Oreochromis niloticus: one gene and its partner. The protein of the gene in region 2 binds, or shares a complex with, the protein of the main gene of each other region. Links are inferred from orthologs where the notes say so. Each region holds a gene or a part of one and is shown on either strand. Other genes may lie near its edges.

Region 1 (7,678 bases), on a different chromosome or scaffold from region 2:
AACAAATGATTAAAAACTCTTAAAGGAAAACACAGCCTGTTTGCAATGTAACCGAGTTCTCTGATAACAGAAACAGACCCACACTTCTTCTCACATACACCAGTTTATACGTTTATTAAAAACTTTTTTTAAATACTCTGCAAAATATTTTCCCTCTCATTCACCCCACCCGCAGCAGTCAACCATTTACCATCAGCAGCCTCAGAAAGCTTTTACCAGCACGTCGCTGCTAGAGATGACTTCCCACCCGTAGCATACCACAATGTCTGGACCAACACGATGCCAAACCAGAAAACCACAGAGGGAGCACCTGGAGGAGAACTGGCAGCGACACAAAGAGCCGATACTCTGACGTAACTCTCCCAGTAGGTTTAAAGAAAGAAAAAAAACTCAGCTAGAGACATTTTTGTAATAAAAGCATCAAATTTCTGATCTTTGAGCAGCTGACTGAAAGCGGTTTCCACCCTTTTGACCAAACAGGATGACAGTAGTGAGTTATTTAGAGCAAGAATCAGACATTAATTCTAGCAGGGGTTTACCTTACAGCCTCAAATCAAGGTGCCAATCAAGAGAAAACACAACACTGTACTTAAGCCCTCTGTGAAAGGCAAGTTTAAAGAAGGAGGTCTGTAAAGGCATTTATTGAATCCCTGGTCTCCTGCTGTCTCCAACAAATACAGGCTGAAATTTTGCCTTTTATTTTCTCTTGATCTCAGAAACAAAAAGAGAAAAATGTCCATTATGTTACATTTGGCTCTTGTTTAGTTTGACCAACAGTCCAAACCACAGTTTAGTATCATACATGTGAGGAAAAAGCATTGCATTTTAAAAGCTGAAGCCTACAAATGTTTCTGGCTGATTTTACTTACATGCCAGATTTTTGTTTTGTTTTGTTTTTTTATTTCAAAGCTATGAAATATCCATGTTTTTAATATAAGTCATCACATGTATCCATGGACCACTTGGCTTTAAAAAACAATTGATTCACAGAGATTTCCGTTTTGGAATCATCTCAAAGTTTGATTAAAATGGCTCAAAGTTCAGTTACAAATACTCGCACTGAATTAAACAACTACTACTGCAGTTTCTTCTCAGACACAAAAACACTATAGAAACTGCTTGTAGAGTTTAATTCTTTATCTGGTTTCTGTGCTCTTGTTTTCCTCACAAACACTAAACTCCCTTTCCTACAAAATCTGTCAGTTTTAGTTCACGCGAGGAAAAACAAATATTACCATAAGTGGCTGGTTAAAGCATAAGAAAGGTCTCCTTTTTACATTTTTTAACCAGGTGCTTCCCTAACCGTGGTTACTTCTGTGCCAAAATAATCTTCCAGTATAGCCTCCCGTCCCACATGGTGGCATTACCCTTCAGAATTGAAACAAAATGCACTTTTTTTTAGGTTTTCTCCAATGAATTATCAGAAAACTTCAAAGTTCAAATATCCAGGGTACCTTTTCTCTGTTCCTCTATGTCACTGACATGAAACTGATGCAGTTATGCGAATTAAACTATGACATAACACATAACCTGATGCTCAAATTTATAGAAGCAAATATGTTGTAATAACACAAAATTTGGCTTTAGACTGTGACACTCTGAACAGATGTAAAATTAATCTGACTGTGGGGTATTTCCTGCACTTAATAAGTTCTGATGAATAAATAAAGCCAAATTTCCCTGAACTTCCAGGGGCTGTCACTTGGTAAGATTTTCAAAGTGTGAAGGTAACATTTTGTATTGCTTCATTAAATATAGTATGCAATTAAAAGCAGCTGATTCTGAGGGAGTCAGATGGGACCTTTGGCTGATTTTATATGACCACATTACAATGCAAAACCCTGCCTAAATAAAATAAAAGTGTAGATGAACCCTGTTTTATTCTACTTTCATCCAGTTTCTGTTTTTATGTCGGTTAACTAAAATGTTTTTGCACACTTAGTTTAGTTTCAGTTTGCTTTAATAACCTTGGCTGACCGCTGCTTGAAGCAGGAGCGTGCAGGTTATTTAAACTCCGCTCCAGTCAGCAAAGCCATGCATGCACAACACTTCATAACTTTTGAGCAGCGTGTATGTCAACATGAAAAGTATGCAAAGCCGAAAAGACGAAGGCGCACGGCTATTATGCAGCAGCTGCCGTGAGGGTTGGCAGAGGGGAATAAGTTTGGAGAAGGACTTACATAACGTGTTTACACACTACTACCAGGTCACAAGTGAGCAGTGACAGATATATAGCTTGCTGGCATCGATTCATATCACAACCATATGGAGACAGGCACGAATCTGCAGCTCCAGCAGAGACTTTTATCACAAGCAGGAGGGGATTTCAATAGTTTAGGCTCCAGATGTTATCGCACACAACCGAAATAGTCTGACAAAAACCACCTTTCAGGGACTGAGGAGTTCTTATTTATTTTATTTCATTTTTTTTTTAATATAGCGATGGCAACTGTTTCAACAGCTGAGTATCCAAACATAGCCATAATGTCAGAAGTGACACGGTCGGGCCCGTTCAGGAGAAGTTCGGCCCACCGCCCTCCAGCTGTCACACCTGACAGCGAGGTAAACACACCCTCTGGATGTGCACACGCCAAGATATTCCACAGCTCCATATACTCAAACAGCTCCAACACGAAGCCCAAACACGGCTAAACCTGCAGCGCTCTCCGAGCACGCCGCTGGATTTGCTTGGCTAGCGGCTGTGAGGCGCGAGCCGCCCGGGCAGCCACCGAGGCGGACTGCGGGGGAGAGGACTTGGCACGAATACGAGCGGATTTAAGTGCTATTGAACCCGGGAGAGCACGGAGAAGGTGGCAGCAGCACAGAAACAAAGTGAGACCTGACATTACCTTCATTCGGGGGCGGTAGAAGACGGGTTATTGCGGGAATTGGCAGCAACATGCAGACGCGGCTGTTGAACCCGTTTAGACCCTGAACGTCTCGGAAACAGAGGGAAGAACAACAAACGCCGTTTCCGCTCGTGCTCGCACACACACCGACCACGCACCCGCCCAGGGCTTCTTCTTCTTCTTCTTCTTGTTAACTTTGGTGCATTAGCGCCACCAACTGGTATGGACTGGAGGCCACAATGTCGCTCAAAAAACAAAACTAACTAACTAACTAACTAACTAACTAAATAAATAAATAAATAAATAACTTCAATCCAATTTTTATAACTAAATATGACCTGATAACTTTCATTTCTGAATTTCCATTGCAGTAAATCGATAAGATCTGTTTTAACTTTGATTACACTGACTACCTTCTCTCACCCTCATATTTCTGACATATAACATGTTCTCTGGTTTCATCATTTCAACAATAGTCCCATTGCATTTACCTGTTTGGTGTTTTCTGGCTATAAATGATTAATTGTTTAAACCACTGTGTCTAAATTCAAGTCGTGATGTAACCCAGTCCTTCCTGTGTTCCTCTCATGTTCCTTCTTGTGTTTTCTTTTGAATCCTGTAAAACCATCATCCTCTCATTTCTCCCTTCCATTGCTTTTCCCAGTTTTCCGTCATTGGCTGCCTCATTATACCTCCTTTGCAACCACATTTTTGGGGTAGCTGTGGCTCAGGAAGTAGAGCAAGTTGGAGGTTCGATCCCTGGCTGTTCTAGTCTGCATGCCAAAGTATCATTGGGCAAGATATGGAGCCCCGAGTTGCTCCTGATGCATTCAGGAGTGTGAATGTGTGTGAATGTAAGACAGAAAAGCACCTAAATGTAAAAGAAAGTGTTTGCATGAATATGTGTGAATGGAACATGTTGCATAAAGTGTGTGAGTGCTTGAGCAGAAAAGCACCACATAAGAACTAGTTCATTTGCCCTTTTATTTCCTTTTACTCCATAATGTGCTGATATCTATGAAAAGGTAACTATAAGCCCATCATACTGATTCTGCATAGCGACTGCTGAATCTCTGTTAGAGTGTCTGGTCTGCTGTCTGATTAACTGCAGTGTTACTGTACCTGCAACACTGCTGCTGGGTTGTTTAAAATGCACCTGTGTAAAGCCTTAAACCCTAGATGTAGGTAAACTTTAGGAGAGATGTTTTTCCTCATTAGCACCAGGATAAGATGAACCTTCAATAGAAAAAAATGATTTAACCCTGAAAATGATGGACCGCCTGCATCATCAAACTTTATGGCAGTGAAGATACTGTATCCTCAGGCAGAAAAATCATGTGTTTGAACACTAGATGGCAGCACGGGTCAAAAATATGTTTCTTATGAAAACTGACACACTATAAATACACCAGAAACTATTCTTGTGAAGGGTAAGAATATCAGATGTAGACTGAGAGCATTATTGTACAACGGACTGACTCAAGAAAAATAAAAACATTATTCACTGAGTGTTGCCACAGTTTCATCATAGTCCGGAATAAATCACTTAAAAAACAGAAAGTCAGTGGGCAAGTACTAGAACTAAGAACATTTCCTCTATGGTTACACACTTTATACTGTGTAGAAACCTACACTGAAAAGTGGATGCGTGTTGTCATATTTTACCGCTTTTTTGTAATTTGATGGCAGTGACACATCTCAATGACGCTGGGCCAGGTTTCCCACTGCGTTCCCTCTTCTTTTAACAGCGGTTCTTTTTGGGAATTGCTGAACTTGTGGGAGAGGAATGTTATCCGATTATTGATTAATGTACTTTATATCAGTATTGGTATATATTCTTCTTTCTGCATCTGTGGCTTATTTTAGATGCAAATATTATAGCTTCCAGTTGCTCAACAGTGTTAGATATTCTTTTTTAATGATGCTCCAAATGTTGTCACCTGGTGAAAGGTCTGGACGGCAGGCAGGTCTGTTCATCACCAGGACTCTTCTACTGTGTCGCCATGCTGTTGTAATCAGTAAGTGATTTAGCACGGACTTTCTGAAATATGCAAGGCCTGTTCTGAAAAACACACTGCCGGGACGGCAGCATATGTTGCTGTAAAAACTCTATAAGCCTGTCAGTACTGATGGGAACTTTCCAGATGTTTAAACTGAGAATTCCATAGACACCGATTCAACTCAATACAGCTAATCTTTTTGCATATAATAATTTTTGGGGATCCCTAAAGAAGTCTTACTTTGATCCAAAGGAAAAGCAGCTGTGTTTTAATCCTACTTTAAACAGTTTTTGTTCATGGGGGTTTCACTCATGAAGCATGGAAATGATATGTAGGCATGAACCTCTTTGCATTTGTTACAGCTAAATTTCACAGTTCTGTTTTGTAACCGCAGCCTGAATTCACTACGACAAGCTTTATTTTCTCTCTCACCACAAGGTCATCCTGCATCATTAAACTGAAGGCCGCTGCAAATCTGGAAGATTGATTTTTTTTTATTTGTTATTTTTCCCTGCCCACTTGGTCTTCCTTAATAAATTCGCTGAGATGTTTCTCTTTTAACCTGCACATGACATGCTGAAATAGTAAATACATCAATACCTCCCCTGTAGAATGATGATGAGTGTATTCAGTTTGCTGGAGGAACAGGTCCACCACCTGATTCTTACAAATTTGCACTTTGAAAGCAATTCCTGATCACTGCTATGCTCATTATCCCATTATCTATTTTCTATCCAGTAAAATGATCAGATACTGGAGCTTTTGTGTTTCCTGACTTTTGTCACCCCTTTTAGCAAGATGAAATTGTTCAAAAGGACAGAAAAACCTTCGCTGTGCAAGATAATGATAAATGTGTTACTTCCTTTTGACCCACACTAAAACAATATAATACTACATCTGCCTTTTCTCTTGCATAATCACAAGAATTGTAATTTACATACATGCCCATCCTAATGTCTGTCATCTTAGCAGTACAAATAACCTGAAGCTGATATTTATTGGTCAAAACAACATTAGAGCTCCATTTTTTAGTCTTAAAATGTAAAAAACAAAAAAAAAAGAAAAAAAAAAGTATCATGATGTCAGCTCTTGTGCAGAGTGAAAATCTTTTGTTTTTGGTGATCAGACTTTTCAGCACCGCTCACTGCTTTTTATCCTCACTCTAACTCCTCTGAGCTGCAGGACTGAATCCTTTCTAACCAACATAAGCATTGACAAATCAGATCAGGGACATTTGGTAGCATTGGCTACCACTGAAATATGATTGGGCCTTGCTGGTGCCACAGTCAATAATTAGATCCAATAATATAATGTATATGATTCTGAAATGTGCCACTCTAAGAATTTAATGACTTTAGATACTTTAGATACTTTAAAAGCATTTTGATTGTACAACTATTAAGCTTCTTATGTAGAAATATAACATTTATTTTGGTAAAAAGTTGATATGCTTGAAAGTATTAATTCAGTGCTATAAAGTACTCCTTTTCCACAGTGATTTTATTTGTGAGTAAATATGCAGATGTCAGAGACACCAAGAAAACAATTCCAAACCTATTCTGAGCTGATATTTATTACTTTCCCTTAATTAACTGCTTTACATGACAATTTCTTTATTATTCATTCAGTAATAGATTAACAGTTACAGCACAGAGGAGCCATTTCTACTTGATTAATTTCAAAGATTTCAGAAAGGATGCACATTTTAATGTATGCTAAAAACTGCTGCAATGGAAATATGTGCAAATTAGATTAAATATTCTAGATGTGGCTAGTTAATCAATAAGACAGAGAAACTGCACCACTAAATCTTTATTTTTATTACATCCTTCTTCGTGTGCAAATTTAAGAAACAGGGTTACAGAGATGCTGTATGGCTAGATTTTACAATTGAAATAAAATGACAGAAGCTTCTATAAAGTAAAAGAAACAACATGTCAATCTCCAAGATATTTTTTTTAGCAGTCGTCTTGTAATTTCCACCACAATCAGAATTGAAATTTACATTAAAACTTGAGCCGACATCTCTCAGCTGACCTGGCTATAAAATTCGCAGTGCTTCCATACAACATCTGCCTTTTACAGCTGTCTAGCTGAGACTGTAAACAAGTTGTGATTTAGTAGGCTGAATAAACAAAAAAGAGAGGCAGACGTGAATGACACAAGCATGAAGGAGAAAGCAGGTTTCTTCTCGTCTTCAGGTGAACCCTCGGTTAATCGTCTCCTCCACAGATGGCCTTCACACACTCACAGTGGTCGCCCGACAGATCTGACTGGAGGACACATCAACACAAGCAAAGAGTCAAGCATCCAAAAGCACATCCCACATTCGGTCTGGATCACTGCAGTTTTTTTTGTACCACACTTTTGTTCTGGTTTTTGTGTCAGTGAGATCAGTGAATGTGGGGTAATCTTTCATTGCAAGAACAGAAACTCCACCCACCTGCTGTTCAAACCTTCAAAGCAGAATAAATAAGCTTAAAGGAATGATCGTCTTAAAGACAGAGGAGCTAAAACAGCTTGTTTCAGGCAGAGGGTGAACTGAGGGGCCCAGTACAAGATATTATACTGGATTATTTTAATCTCTGAATCATGGCAAACTACTCTAGTACAGTCCAAAAAAGTAAAATATGTAGGTGAAACGGACAAAATAGACCACCTTTAACTTCTTAACATGTGCCAGGGCGTCAGAAAAGTGTCAGGGTCCAATGTAACCACATGATGAATAAAAACCGTTTCAGAAGACTTTCAAATCAACTCTCTTGGACAAATTTCGGCTGTAGAGATTTTGTATTAATAGATGCATTTGCTATATAATTTCATATAAGG
Region 2 (7,829 bases):
CAACAGACTGTATAATGAATCTCTCTGGGTCTGGGAGTGATGGTCGGACAAAAGATGTCAATTTTTGATGTGGCTAAATATAAAAAATTATCATCTTGTATAAAGATGCATACTGTCCTCCAGTGTCTGGAGAAACAGAAATAAACTCCCACTATCAATCAGCTGTAAACTATCAGGCTTATCCTCTGATTAATCCATCTCATTCCATTTTATTCCTGTTGATTTCACATTCTGACTCTTTTCAAACCATTTTTCAATGTCTTGTCTTAATATATTTGTCTTGTGCTTTTCTCCTTTTTGTGAAGTAGCAACGTTAACCCTGAAATTCCTCTCTGGGTTTATCTAGTTGCACTCCAAAGGCAGCTGGTGGCAGCACCATAGTTTCAGTTTAAATAGAATTTCAGTGCCTGACTTTAAGAGAAGCATTCTGTGGCTGACCCACCTGTGATTGCTGCTGTGCAGACAGCGGGCTCTTGAAGGCCTTGGACATGATGCGTTTGATCTCCACGCCGGTGCTGTTCTTCACACACATGGAGCGATCCCACTGGATGCTGTGATCTGGCTCGGTAGGGTTCAGCCACGCCAGCTCGTCCTCACACACGTGGAGAGGAGGCGGCGGCCGGATGAACTCAGGGCGGAAGTGACCTGAGGATTAAACAACGATATTGAAACACTTGTGATAATCCTGGTCTGTTTCAGACTTAGCTTTATTCATGGGTGGCGGTCTACTCTAGTAACCATGGCTACATGTGTGCCAGCTTTAAAAGGTGTTCTCATGTTCAGAGAGCGATGAATTGTAATATTGGGACACCACGACAAAGAGCTGAAGCTCTGATGCACACACTAGTGAGACTTTCAGGTTCTTGTGTGACCATGCTGCTTCATCTGACTTATGGATGAACATAAGTCAGATGTGCACTTGACAGCTGAAAACCCACAAAACTGCCAGCAAAGCAAAACGTTTACGTGCTTTTCATCTGTGATCTCCTTATTCACACAGCTCCTGTCTTGTAAGCTAGAAGTGAATAACCAGCCCAACGTTTTTTTAGTGATGAGAAACATGATGATAAGACATACTCTTTTCATTTTGCAAATTGCGCACACGCACACATACACAGTGAAATCACTGACTCAGGGTCTTTGTGTCATGTCAAATCATTCTGAAAAAGATGGAACACGATGACCTACCGAGGTGACCTCCTAAATTGATCCCCCCTCCCCCCACCTCCACCTCCACCAACAACAACCGTGGTCAATCCTAAAATCCCTTTTAACGTTCTTTGTTTTCTGCATAACAAAAGCCTTTTTTGAAAAACGAACAAACAAATCACCAATAACACTTACTTTCCAGGGGAGGGCGCGGGCCTGTGACCAGAGACTCTATGATCTGGTTGGCCACAGAGCTGTCGAATCCTGAGTTGGACGAGTCTGGGTCTGGATCGTTGAGAATGCTTGGGAAACTGGCCTTACTCTGAGTGGGCAACTCTGACTGACGCTCTAAACAACAAAGAGACAGAAACAGTGAATTAAAACATAAGAGAAACAAAGTGCACTGCAAACTAAAGAAGAAAAAAAATTGTCTTTTAAAACAAACCAGTATAAACAAGTGACAGTTTTGACCAGTCACACCTAGTCTTTCAATCAGTAGATCATTTATGGGTGAGTGGGTACTGACCTGCCAACGCTAGCTGCAACCCGCTGATGTCTACAGACTGGGGCATGTTGCCAACATCCATGCAGGACACCTGTCTGGGTGTCTTTTTGAAGAGATCCCTGGGAGGTGCCAACATCAGTTGGGACAGGAAGAACTTCTCAGGTTGGGTAATGGGAGGCAGGAAGCCTGGACACCAAACAGATGAGACTTCATAGCCCTCATTCATCATGTTACACAGTCACACCAAGACTGCCAGTGTTACTGGGTGTTTTCCAACAAGAACTGAGCGCAAATGTTTAATTGAACTGAACAAGTTTTTGTGAAATGAGAAACAGTTGGCTGATTTCTTTCTCGGTGACATAACCAAAGTCAGGAAAAAGCGTTTTCACACGGAGACCTACCGGACAGCACCTTCTCCTGCTCCTCTCCGGCAGGTGCGGGGTTCAGCAGGTGCGCGAAAACAGCGGCGAAAGGGTTAGCGGCCAGTGGCTCGGTGCGGTACATCTCCCACAGCAGGTAGAGGGCGATGAGCCGCTGCGGGGAACTGGGCAGTAGGTCCGGTTGCTGCAAAAGCATGACCAACACCGAGCCCACCCTGAAGTGCTCCGCTTTCCCGAAGTAATGATGAAAGTGAGTGGAGAGGCTTTCGAAGGAGTTGGTGCAAGCCTCTTCCGAGATGATGCTCAGCAGGTTGGACAGTTCCTTCGGAGCGAGTGTCATGGTTTCCTCAGCTGAATCTTTTCTGCTTGGGCGGAACCGTTATAAGACTGTATTGTTTTTCTTTAAATAGCTAATATAGCAAATACAGCATCTCCGCAACGAACCGGGTGTGTTTAATTCATATTTGAAGAGGAAATCTGAAAAGCTACAGAATGAAAATAATCAAACGAGTTAGCAAAAAGTTAGCTTAACTAGCATTGCGGCGCTAACTGACATAAAGCGGCATTTTCATAGTCATACCAAATATTCCGCCCCACAAACTCCACTCTGCCCGGTGCTGAAACTGCATAACAGTCTTACAAAAACTAACAAAACATTAACCGATAGAAACATCCAAGTTTGTCCAGGTGTTTTCACGACTGTTGAGAATCGGTGACCGATGTATTAGCAGTTTAAATTCACGACAGTACGTCGGTCATACCGAGCTGCATCATGGGTGATGTAGTTTCGTACAGTGGCGTTTCACTTCCCCCTTAAAATAAACTCGCTAAAACACTTTATATAATCATTTAAGTCATCTATAGGAAAGCAGAAATTTTAGACTCGAAAAGCGTGAAGCGTCATCCAATAAGAGTCACTTTTAAAGCTACAGCTGATCATAAAATAGTGGTTTGACTAACTAAAGAGCTTCTTCCTTTACCCATCAGTCCTAGCGTTACGTTATCATTTCCGGCGTTGTCCTGTCGAAATAAAGTGATCATTGTCGATACACTCACTTAAAAGTGTTCTTTCATTCAGTTTTTTAAAAACCTTTAAGCAGGTTTGTGAATATTTTTTTTTAAAAAAATATTCTCAGTTCTTGTGACCATACGTATTTAATTATTATTTCTTAACTCTTCTGTACGCAGTTTCTACCGTCCAGTCCGATAAATACACGGCAGTAGCACATGCTTATTGTTAAGACATTTATTTTGCATTTTCACTTAAAGAACATTGTGCTTTCAGTCATGTTCACTTTGGAAAGGAGAAAGCTTCTCCTGCGGCCTGTTCTTTCAGGTAGATCCTGAAGAATGAGATGGAAGAAATAAAATGAAAGCGATGATCTAAAGAGAAACCAAAGCTCCTATAAGAAACTCAAACGTGATGAGTGCAATTCAGCAGGGGCGCGTCCAGACTTTTTTTTTTGCCAGCTGATTGTAGGGTGTCTTACTTTCTCTCGTGGTCACGTTTAATGAAATTATTACTAACATAGGAGGGGGGGGGGGGATTTAACTTAAAATATTTTGTGAATCTCAACCCAGAATTGTCCTGTTTAGAGGTTAATGTCTGCACTGAGGGCAATCAAACAGATTCCTGATTTTCTTTTCTTTCTTTCTTTCTTTCTTTTTTTAAAGGCCTTGGAGAAGCTGTCCATAACATTTCACAGTTCATCTCATTTTTTAATCCACACTTTAAAGGGATATTGCAGGCTAAACAAAAACCAGAGTGAGCCAAAGTTTGGAGCAGCTCAAACGATTTGCTGTCTACATTAAAGACATTCTGTCTGAAGGCTGGTGATCGCTGTGTTCACATATGAACTTACACCAGGTTTTTTTGTTTTTTTTTTAACCTTTTCAAAGAGGGTTGTGTGCTGCTTCACACTACACCTTCTGTTCTTTGTGTGCTCCTACAGGGAAGTGTGCAAGTTTCTGATGAGTTGTATCCATTTTAATCTGGACAGCACTTTGTGCTTAAACTTGAAAATACATGGATATATAAATAAATACAATAATATCTGAAAATGTCAGCTTGGTATGTAGGTATTAAAATAATTATTTGCAGCCACACAAGAGAGAATCTTTACCTTACGAGCATCAAGAAAAAAAGTTTTCTTCCTTCAACTCAAACATCTATTAGGGGAAAAACTGTTTCTCATCTTATTTGTTATTTAATTTGGCATACTCTGGTTTCTGTGGTAAAACACCTCTTAAGTTACACTGTACATTAAGGACACACTGTTTTCAGGTCCAAAGTCACTTCAGTCAACAAGGGAACATTTGGTTCTTACTGGTTCTCACACACACGTGCACACAACTCTTCACACACACATATGGCACAAAAATATCCACCTTTTTCTGAGAGTCGGTCTTACGTCCAAGCACACAGGACTTCAGTTAAAGGGCTATTACAAGCAAAAACTGCACAGAAACATCACAACCTCCAGCCGGTCAAACAGACATCATAAAGCAAGCTGGTGAAACTACAGGAAAAGAAAGAAAACAGAATATGGAGAATAAAAATGTCCGTTATATATCAGGCATGCAGTCAAACACACTGTAAACTTAAAAAAACAAAACAAAAACTGATAACAGCTCCAGAATCTCCTCCTGGCGATTAGATCAGGTCCACTTTACTACACGACAACAAAACCACGATGAGGTCGGACACAGGAGAGCTTAGTTCTGCTGTCTGGTCTGACCTCGGTGATTGATCAGATCTCTTGTGGATTAGATAAAATGTTAGTTTAGTTACACACATACATTTATGAAGCTGAAAAGCCGGTTCTGCCTTTGCAGCGTCATTCAACACAGAACTAACAAGAAAACTTCAGCTACTGGAAAACAGACAGTTCCACTTAGACGTCACATCACAGCAGGATGTGTGATGTTAAAGGAACTTTCTATGAGGACAGAAGCTCAGTTTTCACTGAATACTGTCCATGAAGAGAGCAGGATGGCATCCAATCAACTTGCAAAAAGGTCACTCACACAACTTCACTGAGTTTAGTGTTACTGAAGATCTTTGTGCTGTTCGCTTTGTTTAACATAAAAACCTTTCTGACTTGTAGTGTTTTCTTTTATTGTTTCCTTCATGTCAAGTTTATCTCCCAGACTCCGCACTCAGAGAACACCTTCTTTCACCTCATTGGCAGATAAGGCTCTTAGGATTGTTTTTTTTTTTTTTTTTTTTGGCAGATTGGCACCATTAAAAGTGACGCAGGATTAGCTTTTACCAGTTCCACACTACAGTGTCCATTTGAATCAACATCACTGGCTTATGTCTAGATTTCAGCTAGATTTTCTGTTACTTATTATAATAATCACTCTGTTGTGATCATGTCTATGATTTCTAAAAACATTTATGAACATTTAACCACACTTACATACTAAATGGTTTCACATCTGTATGATGCATGCAACATGTGCTGCAAGAGAACAAATTTCTTATGTCAACATCTTAAAATCAATTTCTTGTGATTAAAAAAAATAAAATCAAATGTGTCCTACTCATGTCTTGATCTTCTGGGTGCAGTCATTTATTTTGATAAGTAGGACTTAGATTATTAGGACAATTATCACTTCTGCAGCATACACACATTTGTATGACCGAGACCCGAAAAAACTAAAGTGTTGTCATACCCTGAATGTATGGCAACACCTGTACCATCAAGTCCCACTTAAACATTCTTTTCTAAAATGTGTGTAGTCGTTCTTAAAAGAAACAAAGCTGTTGTGTGGCTGGAAAGCACCGCATTTCATAATTTCTTTGAATTACACTGGGTTGACAAGAAGATACCCAAAGAACTTTACTGACATTTTACTTGCAGGTTGAAAGGTCTCAGGTGTTTTTAAATGAATATCTCACACCTGAAACAACTCTTAGTCCTAAAGCACTCAGGTAAAGCCTGTTATTGATTAAGTGGTCGTTTTGTTTTCACAAGCTCTGACTTTCTTGTGATCAATTAGTGTGAATTTAAGGAGACAAATGGCAACGTGGAACAGGGTCACATTTTCCCTTCTAGTTCTTGACTGCAGCTGTGATTACAGACACGTTTGGCTCAGTCAGCGTAGTGCATGATGGACTCTACGTAGTTTCCAGGGAAGAGACCGGTGGTCGAGTTCATCACTCCTTCAAACCACCCGTCCTCGTTCTTCTTGATGACGTATATGATCGCTCCTTCTTGGAATGACAGCTCGTCCTCCTTGTCGGCCGTGTAGTCGTAGATGGCCACCACTGGAGGGCGACAAACACACCGAAATATGATCACAGAAGGTTCAGTCATTTCACCCGAAGCGGTGCAGTAAATGTAATTACATGCATTTCAGTTTTTATGCACAAATGAAAACAAAAACAAAAAAAATAATTAGCTGCTCACCCCTGTGACTAATGCAACAACTAATATCCAAAGCAATTAATGAGTATAAAAGACATTAATACCTGACTTAGGTATTACCTTAAATCCAAGTTGTGTTATTCTACCCGGAGACGCAGTTTGAGGCTACATATATGAGCAGCTAATTCAAAGAACACTGGTGGAGTGATCTAAGACAACCTCATAAACAATGCTAACTGTAAGTATTTTGTTGCCTCTGTGTATTTCTGTGGCGTACCTTTCTCTAAGTAGTTCCTGGGGGCCCACGGTGGGTCTTCTTCAGCATACGGGTCGTTATACTCCACTACTGCTGAGTCCTCCTCTTCATGCCCATCCTCAGCTGGCTGAGGAGTGGGCAGGGGCTCCTCGTGCGCTACTTGGTTCTCAGTGGCAGGCTGCGGGGGAGGGGGGGCGTCTGAAACTGGAGGTGGGGGATACTTTACATAACCAGAACTGAATCTGGGCTTAAAAGCTGATGATGTCATCCGTTTTGACACACAGATGTTCACGAGAAAAATGATGTGCAGAAACATTTCTCTGATAAATTACTGAAAAAGAATCCAGATTAATACTCACTGGACTCCTGAACTCGAGCTACAAACCCCATCAGAGGAAGCTGAGGGGTGAACTGGAGCAGGGAGGGGGGCGTGGGAGAGGCTGCAAACACAAAAGACAAATTTTTACCAAACTTTCTCAATGTGGGAGTGGAGTGACTGGTGGCTGCTTTTATACTGCATACCTGGGCTCTGGTTGTAGTAGGGACCGCCATTGACCTGATTCTGGGTTGTAATTGGCTGACCGGTCACCGATGGGGGGCGGCGGTAAGGCAGTGACCCCCCCACCTGTGGGGTTTGCTGTCGAGGCTGAGGCCGGTTCATACTGTAGAACTGAGGGACGATAGGGCCTGACCAGCAGAGAGGGGCAACGTTATGAACTCATATTTTCTTAATACAGTGCGTATCAATCAATCAGTGACTCATGATTCAATTCAATTTTAATTTTCTGTGTGTTAAACATGAAGGAAAGAGGTAAAGATTAGCTCCCTGGAGTGGAGATAAAATCCACAGAAACAGAGAGACAAAGGAAGACTTGGTGATGTTTGGAGAGCAGAGGTGTCCCTGAAAACTCACCTTCAGTAGGTGATGAAGAAGAGGAGGAGGAGGAAAGTGGAGGTGGAGGGGCAGGGGGAAGCAGCTCCGACTGGACTTCGGATGTGCTTGGGGAAGAGTTAGAGGGTGGGGAGGTGCCGGCATTTGGCGCATTCGCTTGCGAGTTTGCTTGGGAAGGTGAGCTGGCATGTTGAGAAGGTGAGCTCGGAGGCAGAGGTGCGTTGGGTTGTGTTAAGGTTGTAGTGGAGGAGGAGGAGGAGAAGGAGGAAGGAGT

The links. Proteins that work in one complex are often made in the same cells at the same time.
Region 1: cnot11 (region 2) and cnot6l share a complex: the UniProt entries of both Homo sapiens proteins name them as parts of the CCR4-NOT complex. The link is inferred for Oreochromis niloticus from reciprocal best matches to the Homo sapiens genes CNOT11 and CNOT6L.

The regions. Positions count from the first base shown.
Region 1 is NC_031977.2:33,445,280-33,452,957, forward strand, and holds the start of cnot6l (CCR4-NOT transcription complex subunit 6-like), read right to left. Parts: upstream 3,012-7,678; 5' UTR 2,850-3,011; intron 1-2,849. Other genes in the region: anxa3a (annexin A3a), read right to left, coding at 7,063-7,122. UniProt on the Homo sapiens protein: Has 3'-5' poly(A) exoribonuclease activity for synthetic poly(A) RNA substrate.
Region 2 is NC_031987.2:29,387,658-29,395,486, reverse strand, and holds the start of cnot11 (CCR4-NOT transcription complex subunit 11), read right to left. Parts: upstream 3,003-7,829; 5' UTR 2,796-3,002; intron 2,790-2,795; exon of another isoform or gene 2,615-2,789; intron 2,520-2,614; exon of another isoform or gene 2,397-2,519; 5' UTR 2,375-2,396; coding exon 2,056-2,374; intron 1,841-2,055; coding exon 1,676-1,840; intron 1,498-1,675; coding exon 1,345-1,497; intron 646-1,344; coding exon 443-645; intron 1-442. Other genes in the region: abl interactor 2, read right to left, coding at 6,132-6,307, 6,685-6,867, 7,023-7,103, 7,186-7,350, 7,577-7,829. UniProt on the Homo sapiens protein: Component of the CCR4-NOT complex which is one of the major cellular mRNA deadenylases and is linked to various cellular processes including bulk mRNA degradation, miRNA-mediated repression, translational repression during translational initiation and general transcription regulation.